Linked DNA regions of Oryctolagus cuniculus. Each later gene encodes a partner of the first gene's protein in a complex. Links are inferred from orthologs where the notes say so. Each region holds a gene or a part of one and is shown on either strand. Other genes may lie near its edges.

Region 1 (11,218 bases):
ATCGGGACGATCGTGATAGGGCTGATGAGCAGAACAAAGGCTACCTTCTCGGGGCGCAAAGAGCAATGGCAGGGGCTGGTAAGCGCCACGGGAAACAGAACGGAGAGGGGTGACGAGGTAGGGATGGCGGTTTTGGCGATGGGGAAGGCCTGGCCGAGATGACAACCGGACCCCCCTGTGGACACGGCCAGGGCGGGGGGAAGGACTGGAGGCAGGGGAGGGCGGCTGGCGGGCTGCCTGCCAGGGTGCTCAGGGTGGCAGGATCAAAGGAGACGAGCCGAGACCCCAGCTCTGGGGCACCCGACCCGGCCCCTGCCTCCCGGGACCCCAGCCCCAGCTCCTGCCGCAGCCCTCATAGCTTGAGAGCGTCCTCACAGCCCGACCGTCTAGGGCTCTGGAGGCCAAACCTGGCCCATTCAACCCCGAGAACCTCTGGTCTCTGACCCCCCCGTTCTGGGGGGCAGATCTGGAACTGCCCAGGCCCACTCTTCTCCAACTAAGTGCTGACCCCTCCCTCAGCCTGGGGTCCCTGCGGCGCGCGCCTGTCCCAGCTGTGGGGCTTGGTGCTCTAGACCCCGTCCCCACCGGCCCCCCCCTTCCTTGCTGCCTCCCCAGGGGACTACAGCTTGGAGGATTACAGGGGATCAGACGTGGGCGGAGTGGGGTGGGCACTGCGGGTGGGGGCGCCCCTCGGCCTCCCTGCCCCTTTGCCCGAAGCCCTTACCCCAGCCCCTCCCGCACCGGAGCAGGGGCCTCTGCTCCCCGGGGCCCCAGCCCCTTTCAGGCCCCGCACCTCTCTGGCCGGGGTCGGGCCGGCCTCTCCCCCCTCCCGCCCCCGGCCTATCCCGCCCCCCGCGGCGCGCCTCCCCTTCGCCCTCACCTGAATCATGTACAGCTGGGCCACCTGGTATTCGTCCAGGCTCATGGGCAGCAGGATGTGGTACTCCTTGATGAGCATCCTGACGGCGCCCGGCGGGCCGCGCGCGGCCTCCGCTCCGCCTGGCGCAGGGCACGGCGCGGCCGTCAGTGCGGGGCGGCGGCGGCGCGCGGCCCCGAGCCCTGCGCGCCGGCCCGAGGGCTCGGGCTGCGGGACCCCATGCCCGGGCCCGCCGCGGGCGAGGCGGAGGCGAGCCCAGCGCTGCCACCCGCGCCGCCGGGGGCCGGAGCCGCAGCCCCGCTCGGCGCTGACCTCCTTTCCGCGCAGCCCCCGCCCCCCGCCCGCCCGTCGCCATGGCAACCGCGCGCTGACGCGGGCCCCCCTCGGAGCCGCGGGCACGGGCCAGCGGGCAAGGGTCCGGCCAGTCTCCCCTCTCTCGCCGGGGCCTCGTCCTTAGCGCCCTGGAAACGGCATCCCTCCGGGGCCGCGCCCCTAGGAGCCCCCGAGCCCCTCCTTCCGGGCCCGCCCTCCAAGACCAGCCCCCCGGGGACCCGCCCCCTGGACCCCTCTCCCAGGTCTGTCCGGTCCCGCGTCCCCCCGCTGCCGGACGTCCACCGAAACCTTGCCTCTGGCCCTCGCCAGAGCGCGCCCGTGCGCCCCAGCATCTCTGACACTGCCCCCCCCCCCCCGCCGCCGCGCGCCGCACCCGAACCCACCTGCCAAAACCGGACAGCCCGGCAGGCAGCCAATCATGTACTCCCCCCGGCCAGCATCCCTCCAGGACCCCCGCCCCGCGCTCTGTCCTGGTCCATCCTCCTCCCCCAGGGCTGACCCCCTAGGACTGAAGCCAGGGTGCTCCACTAGGGATCGCGCGGGCTCCGGCCCCAGGAGACCGCTCCGCCCACCTGCGACCTAACCAGGCACCAAGGTTCTGCCGCGGGCACCCCGCCCCCCACCCTCGCCGCCACCTCCACCTCCATCCCCCCCGCCAGCGAGCGGGCGAGAGGCCCGGCTGTCCCCACTTCCCCCTGCGCCCAGGCGTCCCCGTCCCCTGCTGCGCCTTGGCTCGCCAGCCAACCGCTTACCTCCAGTTTAGGGCTCATGCGGGGGCGGCCGGCCTGCGGGCCAGAGCCCGGAGCGCCCCCAGCCCCGGCCTCGGGTTCCAGCGGAGGCCGGCCCCTCTGGAGGTGCAGCGCGGGCCCATGGCCCCGACCTTTCTCCCGGCCGGCCCGCCCGCCCGCGCCCCTGCTGCCCCTCCCCGCCGCGTCACCGCCGCCGCCCCGCCCCCTTCCTGGGCCCGGCCGGCGGGGTCCGCGCAGCCCCGCCCTGGGCGGCGGAGGGCAGGCCGCGGGACAGAGGCCTTTCCCCGAGTGCCGGTTCTTTCCGGTGCGGCTCCGAGTCCCCTGAGACCCTGGGTTCCTTTGGTGCGCCCCGCCCTCCCGGGGGGCCACGAGGGGCGGAGCCTGGCAAGGCCGGCTCCTCGCTCTGCTTCCCGGGAACGCGGGCCAGGGTCTGGGCGGAAGCCGGTGGCTCCGGACTCGCCTCCACCGCAGCTGGGGTACCGGGGCCCCAGGCCTACGGTCACTCTGCCACTGCTGCCACCCCAGGGCCTTGGGCTAGCCGCTGAGCGTGTCCCAAGGTCTGCCCTTAGACCCCGGGGCAGTGTCAGCGCAGGGATGGGCCGGGTCTCCCGACGCTGGAATCTCCCCTGGAGCCCTGCCCGGGTGCTGGGGGAGGGAGCAGCAGTGGCGTGCCCTCCCCCACACCTGTGTCCGTCTCGGGCGGGGTCCTGGTTCGGAGCCCTCCAGGGCCGGGCGCTCACGCAGGTAAGGGCGCGGTTTCCCCCGCCCCAGGAAGCGCCCTCCAGGCTCGGCAGGGCCCGCGCCTCCAGCGTGGAGGCGGCCAAGGCCCTGCGCTGCCCCCTGGTGGTGGCACGCGAAGGTCAGCGGGGTCCGCCAAGCCCGGGGCGAGGGCAGAGGGCCCGGGTCCGGGCGGCCTCCCCGCTCCCCGCACCTGCTCTGCCCCTCTCCCAGCCCGACCCACCCCGACCCCGACCCCGACCCAGACCCAGACCGGCTCGGCGCTGAGAGAACAACTCCAAATCATCTTTTATTTTTATAAAAAGGGCATAGTTAGCAAAAGACACACCAAGAAAAAGAGTGGCTACGGCCCGGGAGACAAGGCGGGAGGCGCCAGGCCTTCGGGGGAGGCGGCGGCCGGGGGCAAGGAGAAAAGCTGGGTGCGAGAATCGGCAGTGGGTTCCTCGCTGGGGGCCGGTCGTGGCGGGAGGCGCTCCCAGTGGCCGTGCTGCTCCCGCAGGGGAAGGGGCCCGGGGCAGTGCTGCCCGCTGCCGGCTGCAGCGAGAGCCACCCAGGGGCCCTGGCGGGCACCCACCGTGGGACCCGGAAGGAAGCCCAGGCCGGAAGTGCAGCTCGGGGCGAGGGCCAGGGAGAAGCAGGCGCGCTGCAGTGGCCGGAGAGGTCCGTTACGTGCGGGCGTTCCGCTCTGTCTCCGCCAGGCACTCTCTGACCAGGGCCCGGGCGTGGATGATGCCTGGCGGGGGGGTGGGGACGGGGAGGTGACAGGCAGGGTCTCCACAGCCCGGGGCGGGGGGGTGGGGACGGGGAGGTGACAGGCAGGGTCTCCACAGCCCCGGGGCCGGGGGTGGGGACGGGGAGGTGACAGGCAGGGTCTCCACAGCCCCGGGGCCGGGGGTGGGGACGGGGAGGTGACAGGCAGGGTCTCCGCCCCCCCCCAGGGCACAGGTGCAAGAGGGGCTGGCTCTGTCTGGGTGGTGACGCCCTGGTCCAGCCCCGGGGCGGGGTGGGGGGTGTGGACGGGGAGGTGACAGGCAGGGTCTCCGCCCCCCCCAGGGCACAGGTGGAAGAGGGGCTGGCTGTCTGGGTGGTGCCCCCAGCCCTGGTCCAGCCCCTGGGTGGGGGTGAGGACAGGGAGGTGACAGGCAGGGTCTCCACAGCCCAGGGGCGGGGGTGAGGACAGGGAGGTGACAGGCAGGGTCTCCACAGCCCCAGGGCGGGGCGGGGGTGGGGACGGGGAGGTGACAGGCAGGGTCTCCACAGCCCAGGGGCGGGGTTGGGGACCGGGAGGTGACAGGCAGGGTCTCCGCCCCCCCCAGGGCACAGGTGGAAGAGGGGCTGGCTCTGTCTGGTGGTGCCCCCAGCCCTGGTCCAGCCCCGGCCTCTCTGCCTCACACATCAGGGGCCGGGCTCGCTCGGCTCGCTCACCTCGCTTCAGCCGCTCCATGGCGCTCTTGCTGCCCGCGTAGGTGGGCCGGATCTCCTTCCCCATCTCTTCGATCACCGACAGCAGGTCCGTGTAGGTGCTCTGCGAGCCCTGGGCGCCGGGGGGCTTCATCGCCTAGCGCAGGAGACGAGAGGGGCCGGACATTTGGCCTGGCTGAGATGCCCACGTCCCACTCAGGCTGGGTTCGCGTGCAGCCCCCTGCCGCAGACGCCCCCTCCCCGAGAGGCGGCAGGTGCAGGCAAGCAGCCGGGTCCCTGCCATGCAGCGGGGAGGCCTGCCTCGAGTCCCCAGCTCGACTTCAGCCGGGCACACCTGGCGGCTGCGGGCAGCTGGGGAGTGACCCCGTAGATGGGCGCTCACTGTTCTGTCTGCCTCTCGAATTAAAAAAAAAAAAAAAAAAAAAGGCGACCCAGGGCAGTAAGCGCGGGCCCCCCCAAGCCCCTGGCCACCCACCTGCACGTAGCCCATGGACGGCGGTCCGAAGTCGTTAAACAGCGGTCTGAAAGGGGCAGCGGCTCCCGGCACCGAGCCCGACGGGGACGGGACACTTCCGGCTGCAACCAGGCGCGGGGCAGAGGTCAGCGCGGGCGGGGACGCCGCCCCCCAGCTGTCCAAGCCCCAGACCCGCGGGAGGATGCTTCCTTCCACGCGCACCAACTTCGGGCACGGACCCCACCCACGCGCCCTACGTGGGCACGCCCACTCCACGGGCCAGCAAACTGAGGCCCCGCGCGGGGAGGCAGCGGGCCCAGCGCCGCGGACCTCGGTCGCCCAGGCAGGCGGGCAGGGCTGCAGCTGGAGCCTCACCTGTGGGGACCGGCGTGCCCGGCCCAGGCGTGCTGGAGCCAGGGGTACTGCTGGGGGCGGGGGCGATGGGCTTGTAGGACATCCCCGGCTCCTGGGTGCGGCGGACGCCGGCCGGCCGCTCCTCCGGGGTTGGCTGCCGGGCGCCCAGCCGCGCTCTGATTGGCAGGCGGGCTGCACGCCCCTGGTAAAGAGCGCTCCGGCCGGAAGGGCGGGCGGGCACGGCCGCTCCTCACTCCCGATTGGCGCGCGGAGACGTCACTCGAGCCTCCTTACCGGCCGGGCCCCGCCCCCGCAGGCCGCAACGGCCGCCGATTGGCCGCCGTCTTCCGGACCTCGCACCTGTCTGCTCCGGATTGGGCGGTGGCCGCCGCCCTCCGCAATTGGCGAGTTCGCGGCCCGAGCCGGCGCGCTCTCAATCCGATTAGTCCCGAGGCCCGAGGAGGGCGGGGCCTCGGGAGCCCGGGCCAGGGTCCGGACCGTCGCGGTTCGCGCCGAGCGGGCCTGGCCCAGGCGGGGCGCCGGCCGCGCGGTGCGCTCGGCGCTGCTTCGCTCGTCGGCTCCGCGCCTCCCGGGCCCGGTCCGGCTGGGGCTGGGGCCGCCGCCGCCGCCGCCGCCTCGCGCGCCCTCCCTGCGCTCCGGGTGCCGGAGGACGCAGGGCTTCGACGTCCCGAGCCCCGCGCTCCACCCCGCGCGCTTTTACGTCACCTTTCGCCGGTTCAACACCCGCTCCACGGTCTGCGCACGCGCGCGCCCGCGGCCTCCGCTTGTTGCCATGGCAACGGGCGCCGGCCACGCCCGCCCCCGGTGCTCCGGCTCTGGATTGGCTGGCACTCGGGTTCGGGGCGGAGCTAGAGCCGCCCGCGGCCTCCGAGACCCTGGAGCCCAGCTCCGGCCCGCGGCGGCGTCTGCACAGTCGGTGGGAGTGCTTGCTGGGTGCCGCGCTGGGCCACACGGGTCATGGACGCGAGCCCCGGCTGGGGTCCCCCGTGTTGGAACCTCAGCACCGCCCCCATGCCCTGGTGATCTTCCCCCCACCCCGGGCAAGGCGCACGCCTCGGCGTCCCTCAGTTTCCCCAGCTGTCAAATGGGGAGAGTGGCCATCTCAGGGTGGGTGTGCGGACTAAGTGATGCCTGCCACTTGGGCCTCTCTTGCCCCGCGGAGACCCCACCCCCGTCCAGTCCCCACGACCCTGGCGCTCAGAGCCGCCCCCGCCCAGGCACCGAGGGCGCTCTCCCGACAGCCTCTGCCCCTCACGCTCTGTAGAGCTTCATCCCAGAACGTAGTCATTCATGCATTCATTCATTCGTTCATTTGTCCAACAAACATTTCCTAACTCCCTTCCGCCATGCCAGCACGGAGGTTCCAGAATGGCGGGGCCTGGCCTCGGTCCTCTGGGAGACAGCAGAGGCTTGCAAGGCAATAAGATGGGGGTCAAAGTGGAGACTGGAACGTGGAGGGAGGGACCATCTGCTGACGTCGCAGGTGGCGCTTTAAAATGTTTAAAGTAGGCCAGCGCCGTGGCTCACTAGGCTAATACTCCGCCTGCGGCGCCGGCACCCCGGGTTCTAATCCCGGTCGGGGCGCCGGATTCTGTCCTGGTTGCCCCTCTTCCAGGCCAGCTCTCTGCTGTGGCCCAGGAGTGCAGTGGAGGATGACCCAAGTGCTTGGGCCCTGCACCCCATGGGAGACCAGGAGAAGCACCTGGCTCCTGGCTTCAGATCAGCACGGTGCACCAGCCACAGCGGCCATTGGAAGGTGAACCAATGGAAGGAAGACCTTTCTCTCTGTCTCTCTCTCACTGTCCACTCTGCCTGTCCCCCCAAAAAAAAATGTTTAAAGTTCATTGTTCAAGAGGCAGAGAGAAAGGCTGGCGTTGGCATAGCTGCCGGTGATGCCAGCATCCCATGGGAGAGCTGGTTCAAGCCCCTGCTCTGCGTTTCCAGTCCGGCTCCCTGCTAATGTCCCTGGGGAGACAGTGGATGATGGTCCAAGTGTTGGATCCCTGCCACCCACGTGGGTGACCCAGATGGAGTTCCAGGCTTCTGGCTTCTGCCTGGCCCAGCCCTGGCCCTTGAGGCCATCTGGGGAGTGAACCACCAGCTGGAAGACCTTTCTCTCTGTCTCCCTCTCACTGTCTGTAACTACCTCTCAAATAAATCTTGGGAGGAGAGAGAGAGAGAGAGAGAGAGAGAGAGAGTCAGACGAGTGCCCTGCCCACTGGCGCATGCCCCAAGTGCCCACCATGGCTGGGATTTGGCTGGGCTGAAGCTGGGAGCGGGGACGGCCCAGGTCCCTCGTTGGGATGGCAGGGACCCAGGTACTTGAGCCATCCAGGGCTTCCCTGGGAGTTGGGATTCAGAGCCAGAAATTGATCCCAAGAACTCAGATCCAGGATCGGGCTTCTGCTAACTGCTAGGCCTACCCCGTCAGTGGGAGCTGAGCTGCGAGGCGGCACTCAGGAGAGGGACTGTCAGGGGCAGAGGTCCGCAAGTGTGAGAGCTCAAGCCACTGGAGTACTGGCAGAAAAGGGCAGCTCCGGCCAATGTGGCCATCTGGGGAGTGAACCAGCAGTGGAAGACCTCTCTCTCTCTCTCTCTCTCTCTGTAACTCTACCTCTCAAGTAAATAAAAAAATTAATTTTTATTTAGTCACCTAAAAGAGGAAGAGGGAGAGGGAGAGCAAGAGCATAAGAGATTTCTACCATCTGGTGGCTTACTCCCCCAGATGGCCACAACAGACAGGACTAGAGCAGACTGAAGCCAGGAGCCAGGAGCTTTTTCCAGCTCTCCCTCTTGGGTGCAGGGGCCCAAGGACTTGGCCGTCTACTGCTGCTTTCCCAGGCCACAGCAGGGAGCTGGATGGGAAGTGGAGCAGCCGGGGCTCCCATACAGGATGGGATGCTGGTGGTGCGGCAGGCCCGCTCCACCTGCTACACCACAACACCAGCCCCAACCCCCTCAACTCACTTTTGGGAAAACCTCCGATAAAAAGCAAAAAACAGGCTGGCGCCGCGGCTCACTAGGCTAATCCTCCGCCTAGCGGCGCCGGCACACCAGGTTCTAGTCCCGGTTGGGGCGCCGGATTCTGTCCCGGTTGCCCCTCTTCCAGGCCAGCCCTCTGCTGTGGCCAGGGAGGGCAGTGGAGGATGGCCCAGGTGCTTGGGCCCTGCACCCCATGGGAGACCAGGAGAAGCACCTGGCTCCTGCCATCGGATCAGCGCGGTGCGCCGGCCGCAGTGCGCCAGCCGCGGCGGCCATTGGAGGGTGAATCAACGGCAAAAGGAAGACCTTTCTGTCTCTCTCTCTCTCTCACTGTCCACTCTGCCTGTCAAAAAAAAAAAAAAAAAAAAAAAAAGGCAAAAAACAGAAGGTGGTGACAGAGCAGGTTAAGCCGCTGCCTACGAAGCCAGCAGCCTACATCCGAGGGCCAGTTTGGGTTTAGGCCGCTCTGCCTCCCATCCAGCTCCCGGCTAATGGGCTGGGCAGGCAGCAGCCAGTGGCCCAAGTGCTTGAGCCCCTGCACCCACGTGGGAGATCCAGGTGGAGTTCCCGGCTCTTGACTTCGGCCTGGTCCAGCACTGGCCACTGTGGCCATTTAGAGAGTGAACCACCAGATGGAAGATCAATCTCTCTCTGTCTCTCCCTCTCCCTCTCCCCCTCCTCCCTCCCTCCCTCTCCCTCCCTCTCCCTCTCTCTCTCTCTCTCTCCCTCTCCCTCTCTCTCTCCCTCTCCCTCTCCCCCTCCTTCCCCCTCTCCCTCCCTCTCCCTCTCCCTCTCCCTCTCCCTCTCCCCCTCCTTCTCCCTCTCCCTCCCTCCCTCCCTCTCCCTCTCCCCCTCCCTCCCTCCCTCCCTCCCTCCCCTCTCTCTCCCCCCTCTCCCTCCCTCTCCCCCTCCCTCTCTCTCTCTCCCTTTCCCTCCCTCTGTCTCTCTCTGTCTCTCTCTATCTCTCTCTCTCTCCCCCCGTCTCCTTCTCTATTGTAACTGTGCCTTCCAAATAACAGTAGTGTCCATTTAACTGTTCTCTCTACTCTCTGTAGTTTCCAATGCATTCATACTCTCATACTGTTGACAAGGGGTCCACCAATTCCCCCACGCCCCCTGCTCACGGGAGTCCCTCTGCGGAAGCCTGCAGTGGGCGAGGCTGGAGAGAAGCCCTGAGGCCACGCCCCCTCCGGTCTCCCATGCCCGCGACATTGGCCTGCCTGTGCGGACACACAGACAGGACAGAACAGACGGAGCGGCTTCAAACACACATTTGTTTTCTCGGTGCTGGAGGCTGGGCGGCCGCGTGTTGGTTTCCGGCGCAGGCTCGCTTCCTGGCTGGTGCAGGGAGACGCTGGGCTCCTGGTGTCTTCCAGGACACGCGTCCCCTCAGAGAGGCGCCCCCGCCCCCCGCAGCGCGTCTCACCCGGCCCAGCTCCGGTGCAGGAGCACAGTGGGGCTAGGGCTGGGGCACGCGGATTTTGTGGTTATGATGTATTGTATTTTGTTTGATTTTTTTTTTTTATTTGACAGGCAGAGTTAGACAGAGAGAGAGAGAGATAGAGAGAAAGGTCTTCCTTCCATTGGTTCACTCCCCAAGTGGCCACCATGGCCGGCGCTGCGCCATTCCGAAGCCAGGAGCCAGGTGCTTCTCCTGGTCTCCCATGGGGTGCAGGGCCCAAGCACTTGGGCCATCCTGCACTGCACTCCCTGGCCACAGCAGAGAGCTGGCCTGGAAGAGGGGCAACCAGGACAGAACCTGGCACCCATATGGGATGCCGGCACCACAGGTGGAGGAGTAACCAAATGAGCCATGGCACTGGCCCATGATGTATTTTTTTGAAAGGCAGAGAGAGAGAGAGAGAGAGAGAGAGAGAGAGAGAAAGGAGAGGGAATCTTCCATGTGCTGGTTCACTCCTCAGATGGCCTCAACGGCTGGGGCTGGGCCAGGCCGATGCCAGGAGCCAGGAGCTTCCTCCAGGTCTTCTGTGTGTGCAGGAGCCCAAGCACTTGGGGCCATCTCGCGCTGCTTTCCCAGGCATTAGCAGGGAACTGGATTGGACGTGGAGTGGTGGGACATGAACCGGCACCCACCTGGGATGCTGGCGTCCCGAGCAGTGGCCTAATCCACTGCGCCATAGCGCCAGTCCCGAGCATATGATTTTGGGGGGACACACTCAGTCCATCCCTGCCACAAAAGGGACACGCCTGGGGGTGCTGGGGGTCCTGCCCTGAGACTCCTGGATACTCTCCCGGCAGCTGAGAGCTGTGCAGGAGGAGACAGGGCTGCCAGGTGGAGGTGACCGCCATGGCCTGTTCCGGGGAGGGCACCTGCCTGCTGGTGAGACATGTCGGGGCTCCCTCTCCCTGGATTTGGAGCCTCTCAACGTCACAGCCTCCAAATCGGAAGTTGAAAGTGGGGTTCAGGGCCGGCACTGTGGTGTGGCAGGTAAAGCCCGCCAGTGCCGCCACTGCCATCCCCTATGGGCACCGGTTCAAGTCCCGGGCCAGCTCCCTGCTAATGCACCTGGGAAGGCAGCGGATGATGGTGCTAGTGCTTGGGCCCCTGCCACCCACTTAGGAAACCCGGATGGAGTCCAGGCCCCTGGCTTCTGCCTGGCCCAGTCCTGGCTGTTGTGGTCATTTGGGGAGTGAACCAGCAGATAGAAGACCTCTCCTGTCTCTCTGTCACTTTGCCTCTCAAGTAAAAAAAAAAAAAAAAAAAAAAAAAAAAAAAAAAAAAAAAAAAAAGCTTTATAGGGGCCAGAGCTGTGGCATAGCGGGTAAAGCTGCCGCCTGCAGTGCCGGCATCCCATATGGACGCCAGTTTGAGTCCCCACTGCTCCACTTCCAATCCGCTCTCTGCTGTGGCCTGGGAAAGCAGTGGAAGATGGCCCAAGTCCTTGGGCCCCTGCACCCACATGGGAGACCTGGAAGAAGCTCCTGGCTCCTGGCTTCAGGCTGGCCCAGCTCCAGCCGTTGAGGCCATCTCGGGAGTGAACCAGCACATGGAAGACCTCTCTCTCTCTCTCTCTCTCTCTCTCTCTCTCTCTCTGCCTCTCTGTAACTCTGCCTTTCAAACAGATAAATAAATCTCTTTTTTTTTTTTTTGTAAAGGAAAAAAAAGCTTTATATTAGTGGGTAACATTCTATTTCTGTACATTTCAGTTTTTTCTTTTTCTTTTCTTTCTTTTTTTTTTTTTTTTTTTTTTTTGACAGGCAGAGTGGACAGTGAGAGAGAGAGACAGAGAGAAAGGTCTTCCTTTGCCGTTGGTTCACCCTCCAATG
Region 2 (10,653 bases), on another chromosome or scaffold:
TTGAAATGCAGCAGCAGCACAATTCTGACTGATGCCGGTCTATCATGCAAAGTCATCCGTTGCATTCATATTTTTTTCCTTGTCAATGAATTTGCCTCATGGAAATCCCCTGAAGCCAGGAGAGGGTTGAGGGAGAAATGATACTGCAACAGTAGGCACACTGGAATCGTTAACCTCTGTCTTCCTGACTTAACCTCCTCTTCCTCAGAGAGCAGTGGTGCTGGGCACCGCTGGTTAACACCTTTTGGATTATATAAAATATGATTCTTAATGAAGCACAATTTACTGGTCACACGTTTTCTCAGGTTTCACTGAGGTAAATGCCCACTCTAGTGCTCATTTCTTAAAAAAAAAGAATAGGTGCTGAGAGCTCTTAGCTTGCTTATGAGCCCTAGGGGCCCGTGCTCTGACTGTCACTGGGAGTCTTGCTGGAGGCTCCTTACTCCATAATTCAGACACTTTCAATTAGGTGAATGTGCTGAATTTTAAAAAATTACTTGTTTTAGCTGCAGTTCATAGGCCACTCGCTGTGCTGATCTGGTCTTGTAAGCAGACTGCATATGAAACTACCAAAAGAGTTACTGCCCAGTTAAGCATAAAATAGTTAACCTTCTCTAAAATCCATTTTTTCTCTTCAGGCCAAACAGGTGAGTTGATGGGGCAGGTGATAGGCATGGCATGGATGTTGCTTACGTGGGTCACAAGCAGAGCCCTGACTGCAAGCTTAGTGGAAGGCAGAGGGCTGATTCACCCTGCGTACAGTCGGCTGCTGAGGCTTAAGGCTGTGTTGTCAATCATTCAGATCATCATAGTGCTTCTTGGATTACTGAACTTTTTCTATGGTTATGAGTTTCAAGACAAGAATCTCACGTGGCTGTTTCTGAATGCTTAACGAAAGCAGCAAAGGCAAGCTTCCCATTTTTCTAATAGGAAGCACACTTGGCTGTGTTCGTTATCAGAGATTTAGGCTTTTATTCTCTTTACAACAGAATAGGTCAAAATAGAATAGACTTGGAAAAGATGAGAAAAATATACCAGAGACCAAATGTCACCCAATTGTAGCTGGCATTTTTGGAGGTGAAAGTAACTCAGGCTGAAGCTATTTAAATATCATTTCTAAAATTGTGCTGCAGCCTTACCTGTAGCGCAAGAACTTTTCTAAGTAAGTTAAGAAATATTGTCAGTCATAAGGATCATGATTTTTAATAAAATGGGAAGTGAGAAATGGAAAGTGTTGTATTAGAGTCTCTTATTGAATGTAACTTTTTTGGGGTATCTTGATAAGAATTAGTTCGTTTTCTCAAATGCCGCTTCTAGAAGGAATCTTTCAAAGGGATACTTGTTTTATTATTTGAATTTTCATTATATTGTTGAATTTTTTTTTTCAGCTGCCTTGGAAATCATTGACTAGCATCATTGAATATTATTACATGTGGAAAACTACTGACAGATACGTGCAACAGGTGATTTTTTTCATGTTGCTACTCGTATGATACCATTACTGTGAACTTTCTATTTCTATTTTAATATTTCTTAGCAGTGTAGTAATTTTAAATGTTTTGTTTGCTTTATCTTTGACCATTTTGAAGCTACCTGATTTCATATTTTTAAAATATTTTTAAAATCATCATCTTAATATTTCCTTGACTTCAGCATTCATTGTGACAGATAGTTTGGGAAGATGACAGGGAAGGATAGCTCTAGAGAGGCATCATTCCCCTTGCAAACGACACGTGCTTTATCCCTCTGTGAGTGTTGCTGATGAGAAGTACCAAAGGTGTGACAGCAGCACAAGCTTCTTGAACAAGTTATTTTTAATAAAGATTTGAACACTTACAGCATTGCCATCAGACATATAATTTGAGATAAAAGATCCTCTAACTATCTTTCATGACGCTGGTGTGATTATATCCCCTAAGTCTTTGACCTTAACTGTTGTAGTGTTACTAGTCTGATGTTTTAGTAATGTACATAAGATTGTTCTCAAATTTTCTCTACAAGTGGAGAATGATTTAATATTTGAGTCCTTCCCGAATGTCCTAAATTCATGCAACTATCTCAGTTAATTACTTTGAATAGTATTGCCTTTGGGGAGAAGTACAGTTTCTGAAATGACATTAGCCAATGCTTGTTTTACATTCTTACCTTGCTCATGTGCCAGAACTCATTAAGTCAGAGACAGATATTTTAACAGAGACATTTTTTCGGAGTATGCAGGTTACCCAGTGTCAAATAATGGATGCTATAAAAATACATTTTAAGGATTACTTTTAAAAAGTACCATAATGAGTTTTTGAGGTTATAAATAGTGAATAGATGGCCTTGGCTTGTTGAGTCATTTCCAGAGTCAACATCATACAGAATTCAAAAGCATGATTGTTTCAAACTACTTACATAGAAATGAAGACCTTGGAGTCTGGAAACCTGTGTTACTCAAATCAACAAGCAACCATAAATGTGATGGAGATGATGGCCTCCTTGACAATATTTGTGAATTGTCAATACTTGACAGCTTGAATGACAATATGTCCAAAAATGTCATTGCAGGTTGTCCCCCTAAATGTTTTTGTTTCCTACTCTTTGGAAAAATGGAAGACAGCCTTATATTGTAGTTTGTGTTACTTTTGGACATTAACTGTGTTTTGCATTTGCTATTGCATTGCTCAGTGTCTGGATTTTATTATATAATCTCCTTCCCATTCCTTTTCCTGCGTTTAGTTCCTAATTGATACCAGTAAAAACTTAAATGAGTTCAGCCAAGATTTAAAGTTTACTGTAAATCTCCCAACATTTGAGAGTAGATGCTTATTTAATTCTGCTTAGAATAACTGCAAGCTCTTTTCTCCTACTTGGATTTTGGGAAATAATCATCTCTGAATATTCTTCTAAAAGTGAAGATTATATGTTATTTTCCTCCCAGAAAGGCAAGTAAGAAATAAAATAGAAGTTAAATTTGAAAAGTAAAAATGTTACTTTAAAAGTCCTGCTTATTCACTACTGGAGGAATGAGGAATTGAGGTGTTCATTGTGCTATTTTTAAAATCTGTGTCTAAAATGTTAATACTTCAGTTCCGTCTCAGAACTCAGTGACTTTTCTTACTGCAGTTGAAGAATATGCATATGAAAGAAAGCTTTTCTTGAAATAGCAATTTTTGAATTATGCCTTAATGTTTCTTTTCTTGTGTATTTTTAAAGACAATGAAGTGTTAATAATTATTTGGCATTACATATAAAACATTTTATCCATCTTTTGAAATAGAAACGTCTAAAAGCAGCAGAAGCTGAGAGTAAGCTGAAACAAGTGTATATCCCAACTTAGTAAGTAACAGAAATCTTAAAATATTTGTCATGATCTTCATAAAGCATGTCATTTTGTTCAGTGTCAGTCAAATTTGAATTTCTTTGTGTTCGTCATTTCTTCTATAAAGCATGTGACTTGTTTTGTATTACATTACTACAAAGATGTTTTTAGACAAAGGAGCAAGGGAGAGAAACTCCAAATAAACTAACGCAAGAACCACAGGGAGAATGCCACGAACTGTACTTCCATTCAGAGTTACAGGGAAAGTATCAGAAAACTAATCTATGAAAGTCTATATCATTTGAAGCAATGTGTTTAAGAAATCCAATGCTTTTGAAACCTTGCAGGGGTGGGAAGTCTTTTTCAACCAAGGGCCATTTGGATATTTGTAACAATATTCCAGAGCCATACAAAATGATAACTTGAAAACTGGCCTGCTACAGATATATTGAATTTTGAGTCTTGCCTGCAGTTGCCTTGGCAGGGCCAGACCAAATGATTTTGCTGGCTTTATACAGCCCCCAGGCTGGAATTTCCCCCCTCCTGAATGACAGAGTGGGTTTTGTTTGGATATCGTGTATTGCCCTTATGAGGTTTGTTGTTGACATGATTGAGGATTTTACATTGTTTTCTTTATTCTAATACTATAAATTTTGATAATTTCAGGTGTCTGGCATTCTTTTATTATCCTGTGGGTTTCGAAACCATTGTCATATCACAATAAACACCAGTTTCCATATTTTGTGTCTTAAATGAATTATGCTCAATTGAGGTCTTCAGGATTTGAACATTCATTATTCAAAAACATTAATTTATTGAGTACCATGAATATATTGCTATAGTGAGATTAAAATGAAATTTATTACAAGTTTCCATGTGCTTCTCCAAGATTTCCCATTCTTTGAGCTAAGTACAGTTTTTTATACCTAACCATTTGTTTGCTGTCTTTCATTGTTTGCTGTTTTTGTGGACAGGAGACCTCACTGGCAATGAATTGTGATTTTCATATTAATCTTTTACATCATACAAATAACTATTGTTTAATTTTTGAAGTATGTAATTTACAGAGTCCACCATTTGTATTTAGAACTGTAATGTTCCACCTGCAGAGTAATTTCTGATTTATTAAGAGCAACCTCTCCAGAAATAATGTTGCAACTTAGGTGTATTAGATTTTTCAAAAGCAAAAAGTCCAGCTTTCTTATACCTCACAGTGCTTGCACCACCAAAGGAAAAGTACACTTAACCAGGTTTAACCGGGTAATGCAGATCATTGTTCCTAGTCTGTTTTGAATTGACTTGGCAGTCTTGCTCCAGTCAGGGGCCTGCAAGCTATAGTCTGCAGACCAAATCTGACCTATTGCATGTTTTTGTAAGTAAAGTTCTATCGAAACACAGACATGGTCGTTCATTTATGTATTCTCTAACTCTGCTTTTATGCCACAATGGCAGAATTCAGTGCTTTTGACAGAAAACCTGAAATATTTACTATCTGCCCCTTACAGAAGAAGTTTTCCAAGCAAATGGTTTTGGGCATCAGGAATGGAAGAGTACTTCAGAAAGTGTATGGAAAATGGAATTAAAAGATGAGTTTATTTTTGTGCAAAAAATTTGAAGTTTATGCAGTTTTTAATAATGCATATTTTCCATGAACTTTTTAAAAATTAATTCATTTGAAAGGCAGAATTAGAGAGAGTGAGAGACACACAGAGAGAGGTCTTCCATCTATTGGTTCACTCCCCAAGTTTCTGTAAGGACCAGGTCAAAGTCAGGAGCCAGGAGCTTCATTGGGTCTCCCTTGTAGGTGCAGTGGTACAAGTACTTGGGCCATCTTCCACTGCTTTCCTAGGTACATTAGCAGGGAATTGGATCAGAAGTGAGGCAGCCAGGACTTGAGGGTAGCTTCATCTGCTATCCCCCAGTGCTGCCTTCCTCCCTCCCCCGCCCCCACCCCCTTCCCCTTGAATGTTTTAAGGACTTTGCATATGTGTCAGTGATCATCAGGAGGATAAACCAGAGAGATGAAGTGTATGAAGTTCTCAAGGGAACCAGCAGAATAGGATCTGGTGTACAGATGAGAGGGGGTTTGGGCACTAGATAAAATAAAAGGTGATTTCTTACGATGCATCCTTAAAAAGCATTTTTATATTTGTTTCACAAATTGCCCCAGTGAGACTGTTTGTCCTCTAGAACTAACCTGTGGGTCCTTGGTTTTACAGAGCATCTTCAGTGATGCACGTGTTCATACGCAGCATTGGTACACACTCCTTTTGTGATTATTAGCATCACTGCTTTATTCAGTCCAGTAGCATTCTAAAAAATTGGTATTTGCAGTCATTCTTTTTTTTCAGGCAATTCAATTGCAAATTTGCATGAGCTGTTCTTTTTTTTTTTTTTTAATATTTATTTATTTGAAAGTCCGAGTTACACAGAGGCGAGGCAGAGAGAGAGAGAGGTCTTCCATCCGATGGTTCACTCCCCAATTGGCCGCAACGGCTGGAGCTGTGCCGATCCGAAGCCAGGAGCCAAGAGCTTCTTCCAGGTCTCCCACATGGCTGCAGGGGCCCAAGGACTTGGGCCATCTTCTACTGCTTTTCCAGGCCTTAGCAGAGAGCTGGATGGGAAGTGGAGCAGCCAGGTCTCGAACTGGCGCCCATATGGGATGCTGGCGCTTCAGGCCAGGGTGTTAACCCGCTGCGCCACAGTGCTGGACCCTTCATGAGCTGCTTTCTACACATATATTTATCTTAAATGTCAGAAGTTTTCTCATTTCTGGGAATTCATAAGAGTGGACGTTTGGCCTAGTGATTAATACTCCAGTTAGGACACTGGCATCTCATGTTTGAGCTTGAGTCCTGGCTCTTCTCCCTATTTCAGCTTCCTGCTGATGCAGAGGCTGAGAGGCAGCAGGTGGATGGCTCAAGTAGTTGAATATTTGACACCCATGTCCAAGACCTGGTTTGGGATCCCGATCCTGACTTCAGCCTGTCCTATCCTTGGCCATTACAAGCATTTGAGAAGTGAAGCATAGATGGGAGCGCTGTCACTCTCTGTTTCTCTATAAAGAAGTAGATAGGTAGGTAGGTAGGTAGGTAGGTAGACTTGTTCTCTGGAAAGTTTGCCTATAGGCTTCTGATAGCTGTCTCTTTTTCCTCCTAAAAATATTTTTTTTTAAATGGTTTTTCTATTTTCAAGTACAATGTACTCTTCCTCATAAAAATTCAAACATATTAGAAATAATTATCCTGAGCATTCAGAAGCTCCTGGAATCCTAACTTAGCTCTGGAGATAAGCACCACTGGACAGTGCGGTGTCTCTGTTGCACCCGTCGCTTTTGTGCAGGTCCCTGGAGGGCAAGCGTGTAGACTCAGCAGCTCTCACACGAGCAGCAGGAATGGGACAGTGATAACAACAATGTTACCTTTAACCTAGGATTAATTTTGATCCAAAAAATTTGTTTTTCTCAGGAGAATTTATTCTAAGTGATGAAACTTAATAACGTGTCGTTCAAAAGCATCACAGGATGTTCTAAGGAAGCTATGTTGGTTGGAGAAGAGATATGGCCACATTTACTTTGTGAATATCAGCCATAAGAGATTCAGCTTTGTTTTGTCAAGATGAGTGCTTTAGATCCATTTTAACACCTTGTGTTAACACGAGGGTTTTTATCCTTCAGATGTTTTGGAGTTTATGTTAATGATGAATCAGTAATGAGATGTAGAGTTTTTTGCCTTGTTTAAAAAATCATTTTTATTACCTCACTGCACGTTTCATGGAAGCAGCAAACCAAATCCCAACCAAATATCCACCAGCAATGGCAAGCCCGGGCCTGTGAATGGAGCAGTGGGGAATACATTCCAGCCCCAGAATCCTCTCTTAGGGCGAGCCTGTGAGAGCTGCTTTGGTAAGTGTTTCCCCCCAGGATGTCCTTTCTTTTGGGGCCTGTAGGTGGGGCGGGAGCTTGCAGTCTGTGGTGCGCAGAGAGCAGCGAGCAGATGCCCTTCCTTACCTTCTGCCTGGACATAGGGCAGTCACTGAGTGCTTGCTAGGTGCACAGCCCAGCAAGGCCTCAAGGTTCCTGTGATTGCTTCTCCGGGCCCCTTCGTCTGTTGAGCTTCTGATGGCAGTATCTGCCAGCCTTTGTTCAGAGTTGTACTGGCTTCACCCAAATCATGGTTCGTGATACATACCAGATCCCCTCTGGGGCTTCTCGGTATACTTGGGAAAATGAAAGGCAACAGCTGAATCTGTAGGGAATACCTGTGTGGACAAACTGCTATGTATAACCCTCAGATCCAGTCCCTCCAGGCACTATGTTGGGAGACATTGTTTTGTGATAGTTGCTTCTGGCCCCAAGGCCCTGCGGTATTTATGCTGGCACAGATAGTATGATGTTATATTATGCTGCTTGCCTGGGTGTTAAGTGGGCTTGGACAGAATACTACATATTTGGTAGTTGATACAACTTTATACATTTATTTAATATCTTAAGCAACAGTATAATCTCTTGATGGGGACATTGGTGACATTATAATTTCTTTTTCTTTCTAATCATGGTGGCTGGGGTAAGAAAGGAAAGGAAATGAATGTTATTGAATGTTCACTTGGTGTAGCTGGGGAGTCTGAGCAGCTCTCTGGGAGGGTAGAAGTAGCCTACTGCCTTAAAGATGGAGGCATGAGGGACATTTGTGACCCCGCCGCATACTCTGCTTTAGAGAAGGCAGTGACAGCCAAGTCGTGTAATCAGTCATCTCTCAGACCCCAAGCAAAATGTGAACCAGACAGATTGCTGGCTTCCTAGGTAGGAATGGCGCATGTAGGGATGGTCTGCACTGTAGGGACAAGGAGGGAAGCAATCTGTGGACAGCTAGAGTCTTTTGGTCAAAACTTTACATAGATAGCAATGTCAGCATCTTGGACTTGAGAATGCTCAGATTTTGAAGTTCATGTATGTTTAAATGAAATAAAAAGAATTCTACTGGCAAATGATAGTGACTTAATCTTTTATTTTTTATTATTATTATTATTTTTTTATTTAACAGGTGGAGTTATAGACAGTGAGAGAGAGAGACAGAGAGAAAGGTCTTCCTTCTGTTGGTTCACAACCCAAATGGCCGCTACGGCCGGCACTGCACCAATCCGAAGCCAGGAGCCAGGTGCTTCTTCCTGGTGTCCCATGTGGGTGCAGGGGCCCAAGCACTTGGGCCATCCTCCACTGCCCTCTCGGGCCACAGCAGAGAGCTGGACTGGATAGGAGCAACCAAGACTAGAACCCGAAACCCATATGTGATGCCGGTGCCACAGGTGGGGGATTAGCCAAGTGAGCCAGCCACGGCGCCGGCCCCTGTTTGTTTGTTTATTAAAGATTTATTTATTTATTTGAAAGTTAGAGTTACACAGAAAGAGAGCTTTTCCACCCGATGGTTCAATCCCCAAATGGCCACAACGGCTGGAGCTGCGGTGATCCAAAGCCAGGGGCCCAAGGACCTGGGCCATCCTCCACTGCCTTCCCGGGCCACAGCAGAGAGCTGGACTGGAAGAGGAGCAACCGGGACAGAATCCAGCACCCCAACCAGGACTAGAACTCTGGGTAGCAGCGCCGTAGGCAGAGGATTAGCCTAGTGAGCCGCGGCGCCGTCCTGCAGTTGGCATCTTAATATACACAGTTTGAGCATTGTGATCTGAAGAAGATGACTTATTACAGATCAGAAAAGAATGTGCCAAGGCAGATTTATAGCACTAGAATCATTTTCCTGCTCCTCTTCGACCTAATGTTGAAACATCAATGTTTTCTGTCTTAAACTTCATATCCATCCTGGATATACAGGTTTCTTAAATGTTAACATGGCATAATTTAAATTGCAAGATAAAATTTACACAGACTTGCAGTGTTGTTCAGCCATGTGATAAGTCAACATGTTTGGGTCTTAAAATCATGTTGTGTGTACTCATTTGATACAGATTTATAGTTTTGAACAAGAATCTGTTTTTAGAAGGAGAAATCATAACATAAGGATTTTATCTATTGATTAAAATAAAGGGTTGGAAAACAGAGACCTGTTTCTGTTAGGTTCCTAACCTTCTTAGTGGGGCCTTTCTGAGTACCTTAAATAAACCCAAGCATGGTTTATGAACCGTAGGCTTATAAACTGTGACTTAGGTTTTAAGCACTAGTAATAAACACATTATCTTTCTGAGAACTTATTCCAGAAATGTACACCAAAAAATATTTGAATTAGTGAAACAAAAAAAACTCCCTCAGAGGCACAATGTAAAATATAGGATCCCTCACCTAATAGTCTCTCTCTCTCTCTCTCTCTCTCTCTAAGATTATTTTATTTATTTGAAAGACAGAGTTACAGAGAGAGGTTGAGACAGAGAGGGCTTCTACCCACTGGTTCACTCCCCTATTGGCTGCAACGGCCGGAGCTGCGCCGATCCAAACCCAGGAGCCAGGAACTTCTTCTGGAGCTCCCACGTGGGTGCAGGGGCCCAAGGATTTGGGCCATCGTCTGCTGCTTTCCCAGGGCACAGCAGAGAGCTGGAATAGAAGTGGAACAGCTGGGACTAGAGCCGGTGTCCATATGGGATGCCGGTGCTTCAGGCCAGGGTGTTAACCCGCTGCACCACAGCACCGGCCCCCCCCTTTTTTTTTTTTTTTTTAAGATTTATTTATTTATTTATTTGAAAGGCAGAGTTAAAGAGAGGCAAAAGCAGAGAGAGAGAGAGAGAGAGAGAGAGAGAGGTCTTTCACCTGCTGGTTCACTCCCCAAATGGCTGCAATGGCTAGAGCTAGGCTGGTCCGAAGCCAGGAGCCTGAATATTCCACATGGGTGCAGGGGCCCAAGGACTTGGGCCATCTTCTGCCGCTTTCCCAGGCGCATTCATAGGGAGCTGGATTGGAAGTGGAGCAGTCATGACTTGAACCGGTGCTGATACTTAGATACTGTACATACCCACTATGCCACAGCAGCGGCCCCTAATAGCCTCTCTTAATATGCGCCACAAGTGCTTGATTTATAATAAGGATAAATGATTTAATGAAAGATACATGTGTATGTGTTGTACTTTCATACTTGGCTTATAAGTTAGGGGAAGAAAAATAATCCTATAAACTGAAAATGGCTTTGGGATGTTTTTGAAATATTTGATTATATTTATACTGATGTTACAAATTACATGGCATCCTTTTTTTTTTTCCTCTTACTTTTCTCTCATCTGTAGCTACACAGTCTCACCAGTGGTATTCTTGGGGCCCACCTAACATGCAGTGTAGATTGTGTGCAACTTGTTGGCTTTATTGGAAAAAATATGGAGGCCTGAAAATGCCCACCCAGTCAGAAGAAGAGAAG

The links. Proteins that work in one complex are often made in the same cells at the same time.
Region 2: CDK2AP2 (region 1) and MTA3 share a complex: the UniProt entries of both Homo sapiens proteins name them as parts of the nucleosome remodeling and deacetylase (NuRD) repressor complex. The link is inferred for Oryctolagus cuniculus from reciprocal best matches to the Homo sapiens genes CDK2AP2 and MTA3.

The regions. Positions count from the first base shown.
Region 1 is NC_091432.1:4,571,976-4,583,193, reverse strand, and holds CDK2AP2 (cyclin-dependent kinase 2-associated protein 2), read right to left. Parts: upstream 5,639-11,218; 5' UTR 5,031-5,638; coding exon 4,949-5,030; intron 4,696-4,948; coding exon 4,595-4,695; intron 4,256-4,594; coding exon 4,123-4,255; intron 3,431-4,122; coding exon 3,363-3,430; 3' UTR 1,963-3,362; intron 1,716-1,962; exon of another isoform or gene 1,631-1,715; coding exon of another isoform or gene 1,594-1,630; intron 1,000-1,593; downstream 1-999. Other genes in the region: PITPNM1 (membrane-associated phosphatidylinositol transfer protein 1), read right to left, coding at 881-999, 1,594-1,630. UniProt on the Homo sapiens protein: Acts as a component of the histone deacetylase NuRD complex which participates in the remodeling of chromatin.
Region 2 is NC_091433.1:159,918,208-159,928,860, reverse strand, and holds part of MTA3 (metastasis-associated protein MTA3), read left to right. Parts: intron 1-1,388; coding exon 1,389-1,463; intron 1,464-3,259; coding exon 3,260-3,318; intron 3,319-7,080; coding exon 7,081-7,205; intron 7,206-10,525; coding exon 10,526-10,653. UniProt on the Homo sapiens protein: Acts as a component of the histone deacetylase NuRD complex which participates in the remodeling of chromatin.